Danio rerio: one gene and its partners. Each later gene encodes a partner of the first gene's protein in a complex. Links are inferred from orthologs where the notes say so. Each region holds a gene or a part of one and is shown in the gene's direction. Other genes may lie near its edges.

What was found.
Region 2: the proteins of f2 (region 1) and proteinase-activated receptor 3 are in contact, whole or in part, in a crystal structure (PDB 2PUX), measured with the Mus musculus proteins. The link is inferred for Danio rerio from reciprocal best matches to the Homo sapiens genes F2 and F2RL2. Residues at the interface, in NP_034298.1 of Mus musculus: Phe379, Gln384, Glu385, Leu386, Leu420, Arg422, Arg428, Thr429, Arg430, Tyr431, Arg433, Lys437, Ile438, Ser439, Met440, Lys467, Pro470; in NP_034300.3 of Mus musculus: Thr46, Phe47, Glu48, Glu49, Phe50, Pro51, Asp54, Ile55, Glu56.
Region 3: the proteins of f2 (region 1) and f2r are in contact, whole or in part, in a crystal structure (PDB 3LU9), measured with the Homo sapiens proteins. The link is inferred for Danio rerio from reciprocal best matches to the Homo sapiens genes F2 and F2R. Residues at the interface, in NP_000497.1 of Homo sapiens: Phe382, Arg383, Pro386, Gln387, Glu388, Leu389, Leu390, Cys391, His406, Cys407, Tyr410, Trp413, Lys415, Leu423, Arg425, Arg431, Thr432, Arg433, Tyr434, Ile441, Met443, Glu457, Asn458, Leu459, Asn506, Thr510, Lys517, Gly518, Gln519, Arg541; in NP_001983.2 of Homo sapiens: Ala33, Thr34, Asn35, Thr37, Leu38, Asp39, Pro40, Arg41, Ser42, Phe43, Leu44, Leu45, Arg46, Asn47, Pro48, Asp50, Lys51, Tyr52, Glu53, Pro54, Phe55, Trp56.
Region 4: the proteins of f2 (region 1) and fgg are in contact, whole or in part, in a crystal structure (PDB 2HWL), measured with the Homo sapiens proteins. The link is inferred for Danio rerio from reciprocal best matches to the Homo sapiens genes F2 and FGG. Residues at the interface, in NP_000497.1 of Homo sapiens: His450, Pro451, Arg452, Arg461, Arg486, Ala489, Ala490, Leu493, Ile530, Val531, Glu532, Arg533, Cys536, Asp546, Asn547, Met548, Phe549, Cys550, His605, Phe607, Arg608, Leu609, Lys610, Lys611, Trp612, Lys615; in NP_068656.2 of Homo sapiens: Pro439, Ala440, Glu441, Thr442, Glu443, Tyr444, Asp445, Ser446, Leu447, Tyr448.
Region 5: the proteins of f2 (region 1) and si:ch211-132p1.2 are in contact, whole or in part, in a crystal structure (PDB 2PV9), measured with the Mus musculus proteins. The link is inferred for Danio rerio from reciprocal best matches to the Homo sapiens genes F2 and F2RL3. Residues at the interface, in NP_034298.1 of Mus musculus: Glu385, Leu386, Leu387, Cys388, His403, Tyr407, Trp410, Asp411, Arg428, Arg453, Glu454, Asn455, Leu456, Trp501, Gly502, Asn503, Trp508, Thr510, Gln516, Arg538, Ile539, Asp559, Ala560, Cys561, Glu562, Gly563, Asp564, Val585, Ser586, Trp587; in NP_032001.2 of Mus musculus: Asp54, Lys55, Pro56, Asn57, Pro58, Arg59, Gly60, Tyr61, Pro62, Gly63, Lys64, Cys66, Asn68, Asp69, Ser70.

The regions. Positions count from the first base shown.
Region 1 is NC_133182.1:38,969,749-38,972,949, forward strand, and holds part of f2 (prothrombin), read left to right. Parts: intron 1-1,858; coding exon 1,859-1,966; intron 1,967-2,051; coding exon 2,052-2,178; intron 2,179-2,736; coding exon 2,737-2,904; intron 2,905-3,030; coding exon 3,031-3,201. UniProt on the Homo sapiens protein: Thrombin, which cleaves bonds after Arg and Lys, converts fibrinogen to fibrin and activates factors V, VII, VIII, XIII, and, in complex with thrombomodulin, protein C. Functions in blood homeostasis, inflammation and wound healing.
Region 2 is NC_133196.1:7,110,720-7,114,949, reverse strand, and holds the start of proteinase-activated receptor 3, read left to right. Parts: upstream 1-1,429; 5' UTR 1,430-1,474; coding exon 1,475-1,553; intron 1,554-4,230. UniProt on the Homo sapiens protein: Receptor for activated thrombin coupled to G proteins that stimulate phosphoinositide hydrolysis.
Region 3 is NC_133180.1:47,155,574-47,159,287, forward strand, and holds f2r (proteinase-activated receptor 1 precursor), read left to right. Parts: upstream 1-1,379; coding exon 1,380-1,449; intron 1,450-2,028; coding exon 2,029-3,200; downstream 3,201-3,714. UniProt on the Homo sapiens protein: High affinity receptor that binds the activated thrombin, leading to calcium release from intracellular stores.
Region 4 is NC_133176.1:27,275,074-27,279,215, reverse strand, and holds the start of fgg (fibrinogen gamma chain precursor), read left to right. Parts: upstream 1-1,337; 5' UTR 1,338-1,373; coding exon 1,374-1,433; intron 1,434-1,516; coding exon 1,517-1,570; intron 1,571-2,087; coding exon 2,088-2,271; intron 2,272-4,134; coding exon 4,135-4,142. UniProt on the Homo sapiens protein: Together with fibrinogen alpha (FGA) and fibrinogen beta (FGB), polymerizes to form an insoluble fibrin matrix. Has a major function in hemostasis as one of the primary components of blood clots.
Region 5 is NC_133189.1:41,481,905-41,485,965, forward strand, and holds the start of si:ch211-132p1.2 (proteinase-activated receptor 4), read left to right. Parts: upstream 1-1,255; 5' UTR 1,256-1,373; coding exon 1,374-1,476; intron 1,477-4,061. UniProt on the Homo sapiens protein: Receptor for activated thrombin or trypsin coupled to G proteins that stimulate phosphoinositide hydrolysis. May play a role in platelets activation.

The DNA.
Region 1 (3,201 bases):
TCACCCCAGAATGAAGATTCCCTTAAAATACCATTATCATTTCTCAATTCCTTTCTTTAGAACACTAAAGGAAGGAATTTAATTTTTTTTTTTAGAAGTTGAATATTTTTTAATCATATCTGATAGGGCAAGCAGACTTTACATTTAATCTTTACAACATACTAGTATTTATTTTCTATATCTATTTTAGAAGCTAGTATCTTTTTTATCTTGAAATCATTGTCATGTTCAAGAAACCAGTCGGAGATGATTCACGTTTTATGACATGCCGTGTCATCCTGCTGGAAGTAGCCATTAGAAGATGGCCACACAGTGGTCATAAAGGGATGGACATGGTCAGCAACAATACCCTGGTAGGCTGTGGCTTTGCTCCATTGGTACTAATGGGCCCAGAGCATGAGAAGAATTTATTCCCCACATCATTACACCTCCACCACCACCACCAGCCTAACCCATTGATACAAGGCAGGATGGATCCATGCTTTCATATTGTTGATACCAAATTCTGACCCTACCATCCGAATGTTGCAGCAGAAATCGAGGCTAATCAGACCAGGCAACATTTTTTCCAATCTTCTATTGTCCAATTTTGGTTAGCTTGTGCTAATTGTAGCCTCAGTTTCCTGTTCTTAGCTGACAGGAGTGGCACTCGGTGTAGTGTTCTGCTGTTGTATCCCATCTGGCTCAAGGTTAGATGTGTTGTGCATTCAGAGATGCTCTTATGCTTACCTCGGTTGTAACAAGTAGTTATTTGAGTTACTGTTGTCTTTCTGTCAGCTCTTCTGGCCATTCTCCTCTGACCTCTGGCTTCAACAAGGCATTTGCGCCCACAGAACTGTCGCTCACTGGATATTTTTTTTTACCTTTCTCTGTAAACCCTAGAGATGGTTGTGCATGAAAATCCCAGTAGATCAGCAGTTTCTGAAATACTCAGATCAGCCCGTTTGGCAACAACAACCATGCCATGTTCAAAGTCATTTTGATGCTCGGTTTTAACTGCAGCAGATCGTCTTGACCATGTCTCCATGCCATAATGCATTGAGTTGCTGCCATGTGATTGGCTGATTAGAAATTTGCATTAATGAGCAGTTGGACAGTTGTAAAGTGGCCGGTGAGTGTATATAACAAATATGTACTAGTCACAACTGTATTAAATAATAACTCATAAATAGCCTATAAAAAATTCACCAGCAAATATCTAGTTGTCACTATTGAAACTGAAGTAATAAAATGCAATGAATTGATATTAGTGTCAAATGAATCACTAGTATCTGTTTAATTGGTAGTACCCGGTGAATAAATGCCAGTATCTTATAATAAGAAGTTGCAATTAATAACCATAAGAACAAGGTACCTAAAAATAAAAAAATAAACATTAGTAGCCTATTAATAATTGTTATTAAATAATAGAAAAGATCATCATAGTAGCTGAAGTGCTAGTAAAACTACTAGTGATGTGAAAATAAATAGTATGATTAGACTAAGACCAAATGTTAAAATGTTATGCCATACATCTAAGAGATTTCTGTCCCACAAGAACCAATCTGGTATGGTTGAGTTTCTGTTAATATATAATGTAAAGATTTTCTAACCAAACCTTGCATTAAACTCATGTGGATTTGTTTTTTAATCTCTTTATAAATGTTTTTAAGTATCAAAGTTTGGGGTGAATGAAGCAGGGCAAACATTTCTAAGATTTTATTAATATATATATTATGTTCAGAGTGATCATCAGTTTGAAATGAAATAAGGGTGAATAAAATATTATGGTAAAAAATTTACAAATCCTTAAACAAAACTTCATAAATCACACAGCACACACAGCATACATAATCCTGCCTTTGTCATTCACTCTCAGATGCTCCTTTGGACAAGTTTGTGGAGGAAGGTGGTGGACGAGAAAGAACAACTCTAGACCAAAGGAAAGCTTTCTTTAACCCCCGCAGCTTTGGAAACGGAGAGCTAGGTTAGAATCTAATACATTCACTAAAGGTCTGAGCTCTTGTACGATCCACTAATAATTAATATGATGCTCCCGCGTTGTTCTACAGACTGTGGAGAGCGCCCCTTGTTTGAGAAGATCAACAAAGCAGACAAGAATGAGAAGGAGCTTCTGATGTCCTATACTGGAAGCAGAATTGTGGGAGGAGACGAGGCTGAAGTGGCTAGCGCTCCATGGTAAAAACATGACAGGGCCTCTTTTTAAATGTTCAGATTTCTTGGCAACATCAGTCATGACAACAGCTAATGCCACATGTTTACCTTACCTTTAGACCAGGGGTGCTTGACACTGTTGCTGGAGATCTACCTTCCTGCAGAGTTCAGCTGCAACCTTGATCAAACACACCTGTCTTTAATTAACAAGTTCAGATCCTACTTAATTAGTTCAGGTGTGTTTGATCAGGGTTAGAGCTAAACTCTGCAGGAAGGTAGATTCCCAGGAACAGGGTTAAGCATGCCTGCTTTAGACATTAAGCAGGTGATTTTATAAAAAGTGACTTACAAAGAGGAGACATCAAGTGATTCATTGTAAAGAAACAATACTCACAGTGCTTCAAATACAAAGCTTCTCATTTTGATAGAGAAATACAAGCTATTATAGGTTTTTAACATTGCTTGTGTTTCAGAAATCTGTATGTGATTGGAGAGAGTTCCTTCAGTGAGGAACAGTAACTGTAAATGTTCTGGAAAGTGATAAAAAGCCTCTTTGCAATGGTTGTTTGATGTGATTTGCAGGCAGGTGATGCTGTATAAGCGTAGCCCTCAGGAGCTGCTGTGTGGAGCCAGTCTGATCAGTGATGAATGGATTCTCACCGCTGCCCACTGCATTCTCTACCCGCCGTGGAACAAGAACTTCACAATCAATGACATCATCGTCCGCCTTGGAAAACACTCTCGTACTAAGTGAGCCCTCCAAAAATTCCTTCATGGATTTCTTTTGCTTGTTCTAAAAGCTGAAATAAAAGTAAACAATAACCCTCAGTTAACAGAATGAGCTGCTGAACATTTTCCTGTTTCTCTCTTAATCAGGTATGAGAGAGGCATCGAGAAGATTGTGGCCATTGATGAAATCATTGTCCACCCTAAATACAACTGGAAAGAAAACCTAAACCGAGACATTGCTCTTCTCCACATGAAGAAGCCTGTCGTTTTTACGAGTGAGATCCACCCTGTCTGTCTGCCCACCAAGAGCATTGCAAA
Region 2 (4,230 bases), on another chromosome or scaffold:
CACAAGCTTTTCACAATAGTTTGAAGGAATTTGGGGCCATTTCTGACAGAATTGGTGTAACTGAGTCAGATTTGTTAGCTGTCTTGCTCACACAAGCTTTTTCAACTCTGCCCACAAATTTTCTATAGGATTGAGCTCAGGGCTTTGTGATGGCCACTCCAAAACATTAACTTTGTTGTCCTTAAAGCACATTTTAACAAATTTGGCAGTATGCTGTGATGGTCTGTTTGGAAGACCCATTTGTGGCCAGGTTTTAATTTCATGGCTGATGTCTTGAGATGTTGCTTCAGTATTTCTACATAATGTTCTTTCTTCATGATGGCATCTATGCTATATATATATATATATATATATATATATATATATATATATATATATATATATATATATATATATATATACACACACACACACACCTTCATTTACCATTAAAAACACATCAAAATTTAGGTAATAATTTAGTAATGAATTTCATTTTTTTGACTTGGTTAATTTAAACTCAGCAATTTTATTTTTAAAGCTAATTCGTTAAATTAAAGATTAGTTCACATTACTTAAAAAATAATAATACAAAATCTACTCAAAAATTATTGCTTCTTTTTTTGGAACAACATGTTTCTTTACTCGTTAGGTTAGAAAAGTAGCATTATTATGTAACTAATGTCATAGCAGTTAATTAATACTGCAATTCTACTCTCAATTAGAATGCAAATTAAATACATTGATGATTTAAAAAATAATACATAAATCGACTAGTGTAGTAGCTGCAATATAGAATACATAAATAAAATGAACTGAATTCTTAACAAACAAATAATATAAACAAACAAAACAAGAATAGTTTAGTAGACTATCAACTATGAACCATGAACTATAAAAAAAGTTTTCATTCATTTTCCTCCAGCTTAGTCCCTTTATTTATCAGGGGTCGCCACAGCGGAATGAACCACCAACTCTTCCATCATATTATGCTGCAGATGCCCTTTCAACTGCAACTCAGTACTGGGAAACATCCATCTGGCAATCACACACACATACACTACAAGACAATTTAGCTTATTCAATTCACCTATATGTGGTTGGTCTGTGGGGTAAACCAGAGCACCCAGAGGAAACCCACGCCAACACAGAAAGAACATGATGCAAACTCCTCAAAGAAACGCCAGCCGGGACTCGACCCAGCAACCTTCTTGCTGTGAGGTGAAAGTGCCAACCACAGTGCCAACCAGCCACCGTGTCGTCTATAAACTTATTTGTAACTTTGGCTTTTAAACTATCAGAAACACAAAAATAATCAAAGCAATTATGATGTCATAGTTTGACGGTGTTCCATTGGACATGAGAGGAAAAACAAGAAGATGTCATCGGTATGGAACGACACCGCTATTCTGACGACACACACAGAGAGAGGGGGAAACTCGAGGGCTTCATTTGCGTTCAACACACGGACCAGAAAGAGTTGAGACCGAACTGAATGTGTTTCTCAATCATGGGGAAAGCTTTCTTGATCGTTTTGGTCACTTTATTTCTTCTGAACACGACGCAGACGCAAGGTAAGCACATTAATACGTGATTCACTGCACAATAGTCCGCTGCATTGCAGTTTATTTTCCATGAGTTTCCTGTTATCAGCGGTTCAGTTTACTCATTTATTTCAACTATAGGCTTATTATTATTTTATAGACCAATTTAAAAACGCATAATAAACTCTAAAAGAAAGCACGTGGATAATTCCCTAGTTATGGTAACATTCTTGGTGGGAAAGTTGGTGGGAAAATTCTGCCATCCTCTGTTTGTTCCAAATATTTCTGAGTTTCTTTCTTCTTTCTAAGTAGATATTCTGAAGAAACGTGTAAACATGGCATCTTAGTTTTTTTTTTGTTTTTTCCTACAATGGAAGTCAAAGGTTACAGGATTTCAGCATTCTTCAAAGTATCTTCTTTTGTGTTCAGCAGAAGAAACTCAGTTGTTTGGAACCATTTGAAGGAGAGCAAATAGAGCAAATAAATTTATTTTGGATGAGCTATCCCTATAAAGATTGCATTCCTTATTAAAATATAAGCATGTATATTTAGTCGACTATACAATAAATAGTTTTATTTAATGTTTTGCTAATCTGTAAAATTATATAATGTTAATCATTTACCGACAAACTATTATTATCAGACACTTTTAACAACCTTTAAAAAGAGGAACAAAGCAGTTTTATTACACGGTCAGAAATAAAGGTGCAAAATCTGTCACTGTGGTGGTATACGTACTCAAAACTACGCGTTTGCACCGTACAGTAAGTAAATAAAGTTTTATTTATATAGCACTTTTTACAGACATTGTCACAAAGTTCTTTACAATAAGAGAAAACCAGAAATAAGGTAAAATAACACATGACAATAAATCAAAACATATTAAAAACAAGTTAAAAATCCAAGTACAGAAACACTAATACTGTTAATTAAAAGCTTGACCAAAACGATGTGTCTTTATGGTTCACTTTTGTATCTTTATGGTACTATAAGGAACACATTTGTACTTTTTAGGTATTAATATGCACCTGCAACGATCTGATACACTGTTAGACCTTACCGGGGTTTTTTACAGTAGAACACTGGCAACACTGTTGCCAGCCACTCACTGTAAAAGTTTGGTTACAGTAAGTAACTGGCAACAGTGTTGCCAGTTAATTACTGCAACTGAACCATTACAGTGAGTGGCTGGCAACAGTGTTGCCAGTTATTTACTGTAACTGAACCGATACAGGGAGTAGCTGGCAACAGTGTTGCCAGTTAATTACTGTAATAGAGCAGCAGTGGTAACTAACTGGAAACTGTGTACAGTTAATTACTGTATTGTAGTGTTACAAATCACAGCATTATACTGCATACACATTAATAGTTTGTCATATATAGTTATTGTAGTGTTACTAAAATTAATCAGTATTCTTAGCTGTTATTTAAAAATAGAAGGCATAAAATTTTTCAGACAAATATATTTTATTGTTTTGGCACGAAACAAATAAATAACAGAAAAAGTATAACAAAATTAAGAAATCAGCAGATATAAATATTGTCTTGCATATTACAGGTCTGCACAGTAAGGCTGCAGTCACACTAACATTTGAGCAAGCAAAATTCTGTCATACGGCACTGCGAAGTGGAATTAAACAAAGCGAGTAGTGGAATTAAACAAAATAATTAGAGATTGAAAAAGCAAGCCAGAGAGGTCATGTTTTGATCTTTGATTGGTATCAAGCAATCACATGATGTGATTTCGCATGTCAGCGTTCTCCAAGCTTGAACTTTCCAATGCTGCGAATTATGAAATTTGTCGCATGAGCTATCATTCCAGGTCTGCAGTACTCACATGCGTATGAATGGAAGTCTATAGGGAGAAAAGTGCAGTGTGACCGGGACTTTAAGCTGTAACTCTAATTAAACACACCTGATCAAACTAATTAAGGCTTGTTAGAAATCTACAGGTAATGTTGAAGCAGGGTGGGTACTAAACTCTGCTGCGATGCAGTTCTCCAGGAACTTGGAGTTTGACCCCCATGGTATACAGCAGTGGTGCTCAATCCTGTTCCTGGATATCTACCTTCCTGCAGATTTCAGTTGCTACCCATATCAAACACACCTGCCTGTAATTATCATGTGGTGTTCAGGTCCTAATTAATTGGTTTAGGTGTGTTTGAAATGAATAGCAACTAAAATCTGCAGGAAGGTAGATCAGCAAATGAACAGCAAAAAACACAACATAATTATTTTAAAGTTTAAAGTTTTAAATAATTAAAAACTGTGTTAAATCTCAATAAAAAGTTTAAAGTGATTATAACAAATAAAGTTTGCAACACCGAAAAACCAAAGGATCCAATCTTTTATTGTTATAATTATCTCATGACAACAAACTTTATTATTGTTTCTAATATAAATTCATAGGTGGAAACACTGCTCTGAAAAATACTTAGCAACAAACTCACAACCTGGGACCGGACAGTGGAGCTTTTGTGTGTGGATGGCTATGTGTATCATGTTTTTGTGATTTCCTGTGACGATGTGCACAAGTTACCTTACTGAGATGAAGGAATTTAATTTTGGCTTAGTTGCCAGAAAGATACATGCAACTGTTAGCATCTGTACATTATGGCAGTATGCAATATCCAATAAATACTTAAACAAAAGTAATGTAAGAAGTTATATGAGGACAGGCTAACTAGCTAACAATGTAGCTTTCAAG
Region 3 (3,714 bases), on another chromosome or scaffold:
CGCATGCCGATTGAAAAGGAAAAATCTCTGCATTTCGCGTTGCAGGTGTCAGTGGTCCTTCACTGACTCAGTAGGTGCAGTGTCAAACAGTCTGGAATATCCTGTGGCAAAACGCTGTGAAAAGTCCAACATGATGGTAATAGTTTGATTGCGGTGTTTACATGTCTGTGCTGCACTTCAATAATGCCACTAAAATCGGCATACTTCACATGTCTCAATTCGAGTTCTGTTTAGTTTGATTATGACCTTAATCAGATTAATCAAAAATCTGTTTACATGGTTGACTCTTAATCAGAGTATTGTCTTTATCGTATTAAAATCGGATTATTGTTGTCCATGTAAACATACTCACTGTTTACCTTATTATGTAAGTTTAATGGTCAAAGGATTGATCGCATATGCCTATTGATAGCACGTTTGCAAGGAACTGTTTTACTCCCATGTGAAAGTATTTTGTAGTAGGAAGAATTTCAAAATACAGTATTTTATTTTGATATTTGTTGTAGCTGCTGTATTTTGTAGTTTATTTTGATACATGGGAAATTAAGCTATTTGGTATTTTAATTTAAAATACATTTCAATGTATTTTTGTCCATACACTCACTTTCTTCCGATAATACAATTTGCAAGCATGCAAACTCCATACTGAACAAACGCTTTGGCTTTGAGAGATGAGTGAATTTGATTTGCCTCAGATTTGCATTCAGGGAATTAACAGATGAATGAAAGTCTACACTGTTAAACAATAATAATAAACAAAACAAATCATTGGTGCTCCTAAAGGGCAAATACTAGAAACTCTGTTTCACCAAACATAGTTACTTCATAAGAATAACTTTATGACACCTTTGGGTTTTCTGTTTTTTACAAACAATATCTTAAATAAACATGTTTGTACCCTGTTAAATAGTACTAGTAGTATAACTTCTATTACCCAAACAAAAATTTTATAAATGCTAAAAAGCAAAAAGGCTAATAAATGTGTTAAAATAATAACAATAATAGTAATAGTAGTAAAATATTTCTAAGGTGCAAATAAAAATAAACTTATCATTGTGGAATTCAAATAAAATCTAGTAAGAAAAAAATATTAGACACTTTTTATATTGATTAAAACACAGTATACAGTGAAAAACCCCACCATTAAAACTATAAATGTTCTTCTGATATCAAGCATGAACTAGTCCCTGCTGTGTTGCTGGGTTTCACATGTGTGTTGCTCGAGTAGGCGTCAACATTTGCGCCACAGAAAAACAGAATTCTCCACCTCTAGTAGTTCTTGGTGTCTGCTGTTGAGCGCGGGTTCAAGATCATTCTGGAAAGGAGTTTTCTGTTCTCACCCTCTCTTCATCAATTTGCGCTGCGGTGTTTGAGTCGTGATGTTGCGGGTTCTGTTGGTGACGGGTCTGCTGGCTCTGAACGGCTCTGCGTCTGCGCTGCCGAACAACGGTAAGACGCTTACAGACTTTCTTTTATCAGAATAAAATATGTGAGCTCAGTTCATTAAAATAGGCCTGTAGAACACAGTGGCATGTAGCATACACGATGAATCGCATAAAACGTAATGCAATAATAACGAAATCCCTTAAAGTTTAACTTGAAAAGTGAAGTAGCCTATTTTGGTATGAAATATTGGTATTAGATATAGGCTACGTTTAAAAAGATAAATGAATAGCAATGCTTGTACTACTATATTAACAATATAATAATTACATATATAAAAACAATATAATAAAAACAAAATAATAATTGTTTTAATGAATAGCTAAAACGCTGCTAATTGTAAATTCTAAACATGGAAATAAATAGGCTATGGAATTCAGCAAATTAATTTTTTTTTTCTCTGCAACAGGAATTCTAGCTAACATGACAAAGAGATATAATAAAACATGAACAGAAAGAAAATAGCCTAACAAAAAAGTATAAAATTATTTGATGCATGAATTAAGTTAAAATAACTTTTAATGTTACAATGATTAAATGCTGCAAAAAATGAATGTAAACACGTTTTTTCTTTTTTTTTTTCAGAAACATTTATTCGCTCATTTTCGGGATTTTTCCTCACCGTCACTGATGAGCCGTTTGATTATCTGGACGTGCAGGAGGGGGGAAGCGGCTTTAGTTCGGGTCAAGAACCAACACTCAGGAAAGAGCACCTCCACCCCCCGGCTAAAAAGACTTATCACATCTCTCAAGAGGCCTCGAGCTTCCTCACAGGCCGCGTGGCGACCGCTGTCATCCCGACTATATACATAATAGTGTTCATCATCAGCGCGCCTCTCAACCTGCTGGCGCTGGTCATGTTCGCGCGCAAAGTCAGACCCAAGAAACCGGCGGCGATTTACATGATGAATCTAGCCTGCGCAGACCTTCTGTTTGTTCTGCTGCTTCCTTTTAGGATAGCCTACAACTACAACGGAAACAACTGGATATACGGAGCCGGGATGTGCCGTGTTGTCACTGCTGCTTTTTACTGCAACATGTACTGTTCTGTGCTGCTGATTATGTGCATTAGTGTGGATCGCTTTCTGGCTGTCGTCTACCCGATGGACTCGCTCACTTGGCGAAGTCCCCAAACCGCGACTGTCACCTGCGCCGCCATGTGGCTTCTGTCTGTTGGCGGAGTGACACCTTTGCTCATTTCCAATCAGACCATTCACCTACCTGACCTGGGCATAACCACCTGCCACGACGTCCTTGACATCCAGCTTCTCCGCGAGTATTACCTGTACTTCTTTCCAATCTTCTGTTCGCTTTTCTTCTTCATCCCGCTCATTTTTAGCACCGTCTGCTACCTGCGCATCATCCAAGCCTTGTGCGCGGCAAACGTGGAAAACCGCGCGAAGAAAACGCGGGCTGTTATTATGGCCGTAACAGTTTTTGCAGTTTTTGTCATATGCTTTACACCAACAAACATCATCTTACTGTCACATTATGTGAGGTTTGCTTACAAGCACAATGACGCGTCCTATGCCGCTTACCTGGTCTCCATGTGTATGGGGAGCATCAGCTGCTGTCTGGACCCCCTCATCTATTATTTTGGTTCTTCTCAGTGCCAAAAACAAGTTCTTGCTTTTCTCAGATGTCAGGGGGTCCCTGGTATTGAAAGGAGCGCACAGTTCACCTCCAGCACAAGGTCAAGTAATCTGGAGACTTTGAAAAGCAGTGTGAACAGCCAGTACATAAAGCTGATGGCATGAACAGTCTAAACCTTGACTATATGGCTGGTTGGATATGTCTGGATTTTTGGAAGGGTCTTGAAAACTTTTAAGCTGGCCAGGATGAGAGACCTTGTCAAGCCATGATGCAACAGATTTCCAAGAACATTCTGTCTGTAACAGGGTTTTTCTTTCATTTTATTTAGGATAACTCGATGGGTGGAGTTGCCTGCACTTATTCAAAGGAATCTTATATAGAGGGTTGCATGATAACATCAGAACCTGCAAGAACAATTCAACACGACTTTTCTTTTGATTTTACCAATTAACTGAGAGTAAAACAAAATTTCTGGCAAACACAACTTTACAATCTTTTATGTTTTGTTGTACAAACAGTCTCATGGGAATGGGGTACAGTACATGCACACAGACTTTTCATTTCAGTCAGCCACCCCTAGAGCTTCTGGTTAATTGTCATCCCAAACAAAATTGCAGTGTTTACGTTATCTGATTTCTTAAAAAAAAAAATAACAGCGATCTTAACTGCCTGGCTAAG
Region 4 (4,142 bases), on another chromosome or scaffold:
TGCACAAGATTTTTGATATGCAACATCCCCTAGTGGTTCATTCGGTTAAGACATGTTCATAGTCCAGATCAGCTTTGGTACTGATGTTTGTAGCCTTAAAAACAATTGAGCAACCATATTAATATTTAAAGTGACTAAAAAGTCATAGTATTCAGTCTTTAAAAACTCAAACAAAGTCGAACAGCACTTTATTAAAACCTCTAGAACTTTAGAACTCTTAATTCTACTTTTCCTCCTCATTTATTCCCACTCAAGTGATTCTAAATTTATGTATTTATTGCTTCTTGCTGATTTTTCCCAACATTCTTTGGTGTATATTCCTTTGTGTCCAACAAAAGAAAGAAACTAGCTATTTAATGTTTAACGTGTTTGATCTTGAAATTAAATTTAATGTTAATCTAATTTATTTTGCTTCTTTTTTTCTCTAATAGCTTTATATTATTTGCTTTGCTTATTACCATGAAAAAGAAGGAAATTTATTTATTTATTTATTTATTTATTTATTTATTTATTTATTTATTTATTTATTTATTTACTAACTATTGATACTTTGCTTTGGTCATTACCAGTACATTTGAAAAAAAAATGCATTTTTGTTCTTACTGGTGAGTCAGTATGTCAGCAAAAGTGTATGTTTGTCTGTGTGTGGGTACATGTTGTTAAAGTATTTGTGGAACATTTAATCTTCCAACACTAGAAAAGAAAAATTGACAAATCATTAACTTAAAACTGACTGGATAGTGACCCACAAGTTCTGTAGCAATGGCTCATTGCTGCGTCAAGGCAAATAATCAGTTTGTTTGATTGTTTATGTGTTTTAGGCCAATGCATAAGTACATTTACAAATACTGACATGCAGTGATTTAAATCCTTTAAAATCAAGGGATACAGTAGTGGGAAACCAATGATTAGTTAGTCTCAAAGTAAATTTTGTGAAAAACAGTTAATAAAATAGTATGTTTCAAAGAAAGCAAAATGAATGTTATTTTATGAGAACATATTCTTGTTTTCACAATTATTAGTTAAACTGTTAAAAAAGGTTTCTAATGCAACTTTACTCTACAATCTCCAAACTTTGTTTTTGATGGAAAAAAAAATCAAACCTGTAAATAAATAAATCATTTTAAATGTCTTAAATGTCCTGATCCACTAGCACTATGTACTAACATGATGGACACGTTGACCAACGTATATATGCATCATTTACGGTTAGTTTGGAGTCACACAGTGAGTAATAGAGGGGTGGTTTTAGCTCTTGTTTGAAGAGTGAACCGTTATCTCCATCTCCAAAGAGGACCTTGATCGGATAAATATCCTGCAACAGTCAACAGAAACTCACAATCTCAAGGGTATACCACACAGACAGGTCCGACATGGGCTCGATCATGCATGTGGTTGCTTCCATTGTGCTGCTGTGCACATTAACATCAGCGGTGAGTGACAGTTATTATATTTTATTATAAAACATTATAATGTCTTTGTTACTCATTTTCTTTTCTCCCTTATTTATTTTAAGCAAAGAGGAGACTACTCACCATCACATGATTTGTGCAACCCTAATGATGGGTTTGTAAGTACAAATTCTTTATGTTTTGGATTTTTTTAACTAATAAACTCTGTAACACTTTAATTAATATCAAAAGGATATTCAAATGGACCATCAAAATAATGTCCTTACTTATTAATGCCATTAAAGTATTAGTAGACTGTCTGCCTAAAGGGATAGTTCACCCAAAAATAACAAATTATGTCACATTTTGCTCTCCCTCTACTTGGTCCAAATATGTTTGACTTTTTTTCTTCTGTTTCTACTGTTTTTTCAATTTCTGTTATGACTTTCTATTGTGATGATCTCCCTATAGACATTCTACTGACTATAAGTAACGATATAATTAGTTTGCAAGCACAGGTCAACCAATTAAAATAAGTATTTACCAGTCTCCCATTACTGTACTAATCATATGAGAATTAGAAATGTAGATGCATTGATATAACGTTATAATCAACAAAATGAGTTGAAGGGACGCTGATTTTTGTACGATTTTATTTTGATAGTAAGATTGACACTTGGTTCCTCTCTTTTTCAGGGAACATACTGTCCAACAACATGTGGAGTCGCTGATTACTTGCAGAGGTACAAGCCTGATATGGACAAAAAGCTGGATGATATGGAACAGGATTTGGAAGAGATCGCCAACCTCACCAGAGGAGCTCAAGACAAAGTGGTCTACCTGAAAGATTCAGAAGCACAAGCACAAAAACAATCACCAGGTAGCACAATTTATCATTAATTATGATATTATTTAAGCCCTGAATGTCATAAAAATTGCCATATGGTGTAAGCATCAGGCAGAGGTAATTGCATTTGTCTAAAGCCTTAAACAAATATTTATACAAATGAATATGTATGTGTATATTTGCACACATATGCGCAAACACATTCCTTGATTCATTTTCCTTTGGCTCAGTCCCTGATTTATCAGAAGTCACCACATATATACAGTATACACTTACCGGCCACTTTATTAGGTACACATTACTAGTCCCACGTTGGACCCCCTTTTGCCTTATTCCTTCATGGCATAGGTTCAACAAGGTTCTGAAAATAAGGTACTGGAAACAAGGTACTGCAAATATGGAAATATACTGGAAATATTGCTCAGAGATTTTGTTCCATATTGACATGATAACATCATGCAGATTTGTCAGTTGCACATTCATGATGCGAATCTCCTGTTCCACCACATCCCAAAGGTGCTCTATTGGAATGAGATCTAGTGACTGTAGAGTCCATTTGAACTCCTTGTCATGTTCAAGAAACCAGACTGAGATGATTTGCGCTTTATGACAACGCGTTATACTGCTGGAAGTAACCATCAGAAGATGGGTACACTGTGGTCACACCATTACACCACCATCAGCAGCCTGAATCGTTGATATAAGGCAGGATGGATCCATGTTTTCATGTGGTTGATGCCAAATCCTGAGTTTACCATCTAAATGTTGCAGCAGAAATCGAAACTCATCAGATCAGGCAACATATTTCCAATATTCTATTGTCCAATTTAGTGAACCTGTGTGAATTGTAGCCTCAGTTTCCTGTTCTTAGCTGACAGGAGTGGCACCCGTTGTTGTCTGCTGCTGTAGCCCATCCACCTCAAGGTTGAAGGTGCTGCCTCTATGTGTTTGTGTATCTTTGTGCTTATTTATTATCAGCAGGTATCTTTATTAATTTATTTTTATTTTTCACTTTATTTATTTTCATTCTTTTCATAAATTTTTTTTGGCTTAGTCCCTTTATTAATCTGGTGCCGCCACAGCGGAATGAACCGCATCCTTACCCAGCATATGCAACCCATCTCTGGGAAACATCCATACACACTTATTCACACTCATACACTACGGACAATTTAGCTTACTCAATTCACCTGTACCACATGACTTTGCACTGTGGGGGAAACCAGAGCAACTGGAGGAAACCAACGCGAATGCAGAGAAAACATGCAAACTCCACACAGAAACACCAACTGACTTAGCCGAGTCTTGAACCAGCGACCTTCTTGCTGTGAGGCGACAGCACTTACTGTGACACCGCTTCACCTTTATTTATTTTTATTATTTAATTTTTATTTACTCATAAATAAAATGGGGTTAGTTGGACAACATGCCATTTTTCTGAAAATTACTTGGAATTTTGTTTCTCACTCACTATCCTTCGGCTTAGTCCCTGTTTTATCAGGGCTTGCCACAGTAGAATGAACTGCCAATTACTCTGGCATATATTTTATGTGGCGGACGCCTTTCCAGCCGCAACCCAGCAGCAAGAGTACACTAACCCATGAATCCCTAGTGCTGGGAAACACCCATACATTAATTTATACACACTATAGCCAATTTAGTTTGTCCAATTGAGCTATACCACAAATGTTTGGACTGTTGGGGAAACTGGAGCACCCAGAGGAAACCCATGCAAACATGCAAACTCCACACAGAAATCCTAGCTGGTCTAACAGGGACTCACTAGTGCTTACCACTGAGCCACCGTGCCACCCCACAAAATCATTTTATCGTTTACCAAATTTGTTATTTTTCAGTACCTGTAAACCTTAATTTTCTTTACTATCTTTTTGTCAGATACTTAC
Region 5 (4,061 bases), on another chromosome or scaffold:
TTTTACCAGGCTAGCTACGGGCCTGCAACCTGTGAAAGAATGCAGGTCTGCTGTGACATGCAGTCCAGATGTAATAAACACGACGTGCTCGAACACGACACAAAAGAAAACTGAAACTGTGTTTAACTGTAAACAAGGCTATTGTTTCCAAAAAGAAAAAAAAGAAAAAAATTGAATAATTCCTCAAGATCTCTACGGAGCGCAATTAAACTACAGTATATTAAACTAAAATAAACTATAGGCTAGATGGTGTGCTTTTACATTTATTTTATTTATTTATTTATTTTTACAGATTTTAAATATAGCATAATATCTCAACAATGAAGACGTTCATGTTGCAGGTGTGCAACAATGTCACCATCTAGTGCTCATCATCTACAGCTACATTATGTTTTAGTTTTTTTTCCCACGAATGGCATCAAGTATTGAAAACTTTAATATTTACAAAAGCTAGCCACTTTTCAATAAAATCACGACGACAATCACATAAATACAGCATTTAAAGAATATGTAACCTACAAATGTTTTCTTTATCAATTAAGATGGAAGCCTTCATTTAAAAACAAAAATATAGGTTTAATTGTAGAATTGTAAAATTTAAATATATAAATAGTTCAAATCATTTATAGGCTAGCATATCAGTTGATTATTACGTGAAATACAAGTTTTGACAACTATGTAACGTAGTATTTTGTAATGTTATGAAAACATTTTTTAATTATTGCTATCATTAAGTGAAAAACAAAACATTTAAATGAATATTTTGATAGAACAAAATGTCATTATTTTTCCCTTCTCTTTTTAAAAAGGGAACTAGACAAATGTGCTTGTTGGAAAAAGTAGTACTTCTTTTGACAAGCATCCACATTTTTCCATAGATCTTTCGTTTCCTCCCCTGATCCTATCTCCTCCTGTTTGCTACAGAGGTGGTTTTGAGCTGAACATTTGAGTGTTCTACTGCGTTTCATTGTTTAATAAATTCCTTAATACAGAAATACAGGCTAATTATTAATTAAATCAATTAAACATCAATTACTCATCTCTAGTCCACAAACGTATTAATAATGTTGACCGTTTATTGTACCATTGGACAATCTGTCTCCATATGAATGAGAGAAGGAAAAATGCAAACATTGTAGCAGATGCTCACATCTGTTTTATGTCCTCGTACTTATAGAGGAAAAGCCAAAAGACAACTCGTTGATTGGTATAAACCCAAAAGGAGGCGTGACTAGAATGCATACCCGACAGAAAAAGTATATTAGAGGTAAATAGAGTGGAGTGAACAGCTACTTTTACACTCAGAAAATCTTTTCATTTCACGTCGCTAGGGAAGTGCTTTAAATCATTTCAACAATACTTAAACGACCAGTATGGAATTTGTTGTCAGTTCTCGAGTGCCTTTTCTGTATCTCCTCTTCATCTTTCTTCACGTCTCTTCAGCTGTAGATGCAAACATCTCGATCATCGTTCCAAGTAAGTCTTATCTTAACTTTGTGGTAAAAATCTTTGATAGTCTACTTGTCACGATAACGTTGTAAAACAAAGGTTATATGAGTAAGTATAGCAAATTTGGAAAGAAAGGTGGGGGTGGCAGAGTTGTAACATGCACAGACAGGACATGACATTCATTGTAACACATATTGATTCTATCTTACCACTGCTAAGCAAAGCACAGAAGTGAAAAACAGTGACAAAAAGTGACACCATTTAGTCACCCAAATGTTATTTCAAATCTGACTTTAATTTTCCAGAATAATTGCTTTAAATTAGTTTTGTTTGAGTGATCCTGCATTGTGGTTGAATAAGAAATATATCTAAAAAAATTTTAATAATAATAGATATCTCATTTCCTCACTGATCCTATCTCTTCCTGTTTGCTACAGAGATGAGGTTAAGAGTTAGATATTTGACAAAAAATAAAATAAATAAAATAATAATAATAATATACATATACATACATACACACACACACACACACACACACACACACACACACACACACACACACACACACACACACACACACATATATATATGTAATCCCCCCCCCCCCCCCTTCAATTTATTTATTTATTTTATTTCAGGAGAGTCTTATTTGTTTATTTCGACTAGAATAAAAGCATTTTTTAATTTAAAAAAAAAATATTTTATGGACAAAATTATTAGCCCCTTTAAGCAATATTGTTTTCCTATTGTCAACAGAACAAATCATCATTGTACAATGACTTGCCTAATTACCCAGATTAACCTAGTTAAGCCTTTAAATTGCACTTTAAGCTGAATACTAGTGTCTTGACAATTATCTAGTAAAATATTATGTACATGGTCATCACAGCAAAGATAAAACAAATCAGTTTTTAGAAACTAGTTATTAAAACTATTATGTTTATAAATTTGATGAAAATAAATATTCTTTCCGTTAAACAGAAATTGGAGAAAAATCTACAGGGGGCTAATAATTCTGACTTCAACTGTATATATACACAGTAGTCAACATATGTAGTAAATCAAGAAGGATAATCAAAGTTGTCCTAAGACGATATACAGTATTGTTCAAAATTCATGCCCAATATGTAGTTCTGTTTTTAATCAACATTGTTATCTACAGAATTTCATACTTCATCACTTTTGATCGCACACAGACAAGATTGTTTGTCACAAGATGTAAAATTGCTTGTCACATTTCATGAATACGAGTTTGCAGCTTCCCAATGGTTCTGTTAAGGTCAGAATCCTGTAGTCTAACTAAATTTGGCATTATATTCGCGTTCTGACCTTAAGCAAAGCTTTCAGAACCTTGAATAATGATCTCTTCCCCATTACAGACACATGTGACAGGTCAGTTGTTACCTAATGATAAATGATTATGTCTGGTGTTGACAAAAAACCAATTAACAATGACATTTCTTATTATGATGTGGATATTAATTCATTTGAATTATTTTTACAATTGATATTGTCTGCAATGTGTACAATACTGTAAAGTTTTTTTTTCTCTCTCTCTGTTGTAATAATATTTAGGTTTAATTGTTCGTAAATTTGTTTCGATAGCAAGGGATGTTATGAAAAAAAAATACAACCCTGAGTGTACAAAGTGTTTTTTAATTGACTAGTAACAGACTGACATTTTTTGCATGAATTTTGAAAGAAGCACATTTTTGGTTTTATGAAAACTTTGATTAAAATTTTAATTCACATCAAATGTTGACTATGCCAAATTGTTATTTTAATACTTATACAGCTTATTATTGGTGTGGTGTCTTTAAAAGAACAAATTTGCATCTTATTTTACTCATAAAAGTAAAAGTTCAGTACAGCGTTTTATGTGGTTGATAAAGTAGAAAGTTGTTTTAAAATCACTTTTATTGTACTGTATTGTCCGACATAAGCTTATACTGTTATTAGGATTTTAACATAGTTATTTCAAGATTTCTGTCCTGTTATTGATCTTTTATAAAGAGTTTTAAATATTTGAAGAAATATGTAACCTTATGTAACAGACAAATAAATCTACAAATCTGACTCAGTTACACCAATTCTGTCAGGAGAAATGAGTCAAAATTCCTCCAAACTATAGTGAGAAACTTGTGGAAGGATACCCAAAACATTTGACCAAAGTTATACAGTTTCAAAGCAAAGCTAAAAAATACCAAGGAAATGTGTGTAAACTTTTGACTGTCTAGAAATTAATAAAAATTCCCAAAAAAAAAGTTCTCTCATTATCCTGGCATTTAGCAAATGTAGATAATTTAGGTAATCCTAATAATTTAGGTTATTAGGATTTTAACATAGTTATTTCAAGATTTCTGTTCTGTTATTGATCTTTTATAAAGAGTTTTAAATATTTGAAGAAATATGTAACCTTATGTAACAGACAAATAAACAGTGACATACTGAAAGTGAAAACTCTACAAATAGTAATAATAAATGTTTACAAAGTGATGTCTTATACTTTCAAAATCGTGATCACTATATACACACACACACACACACACACACACACACACACACACACACACATATATATATATATATATATATATATATATATATATATA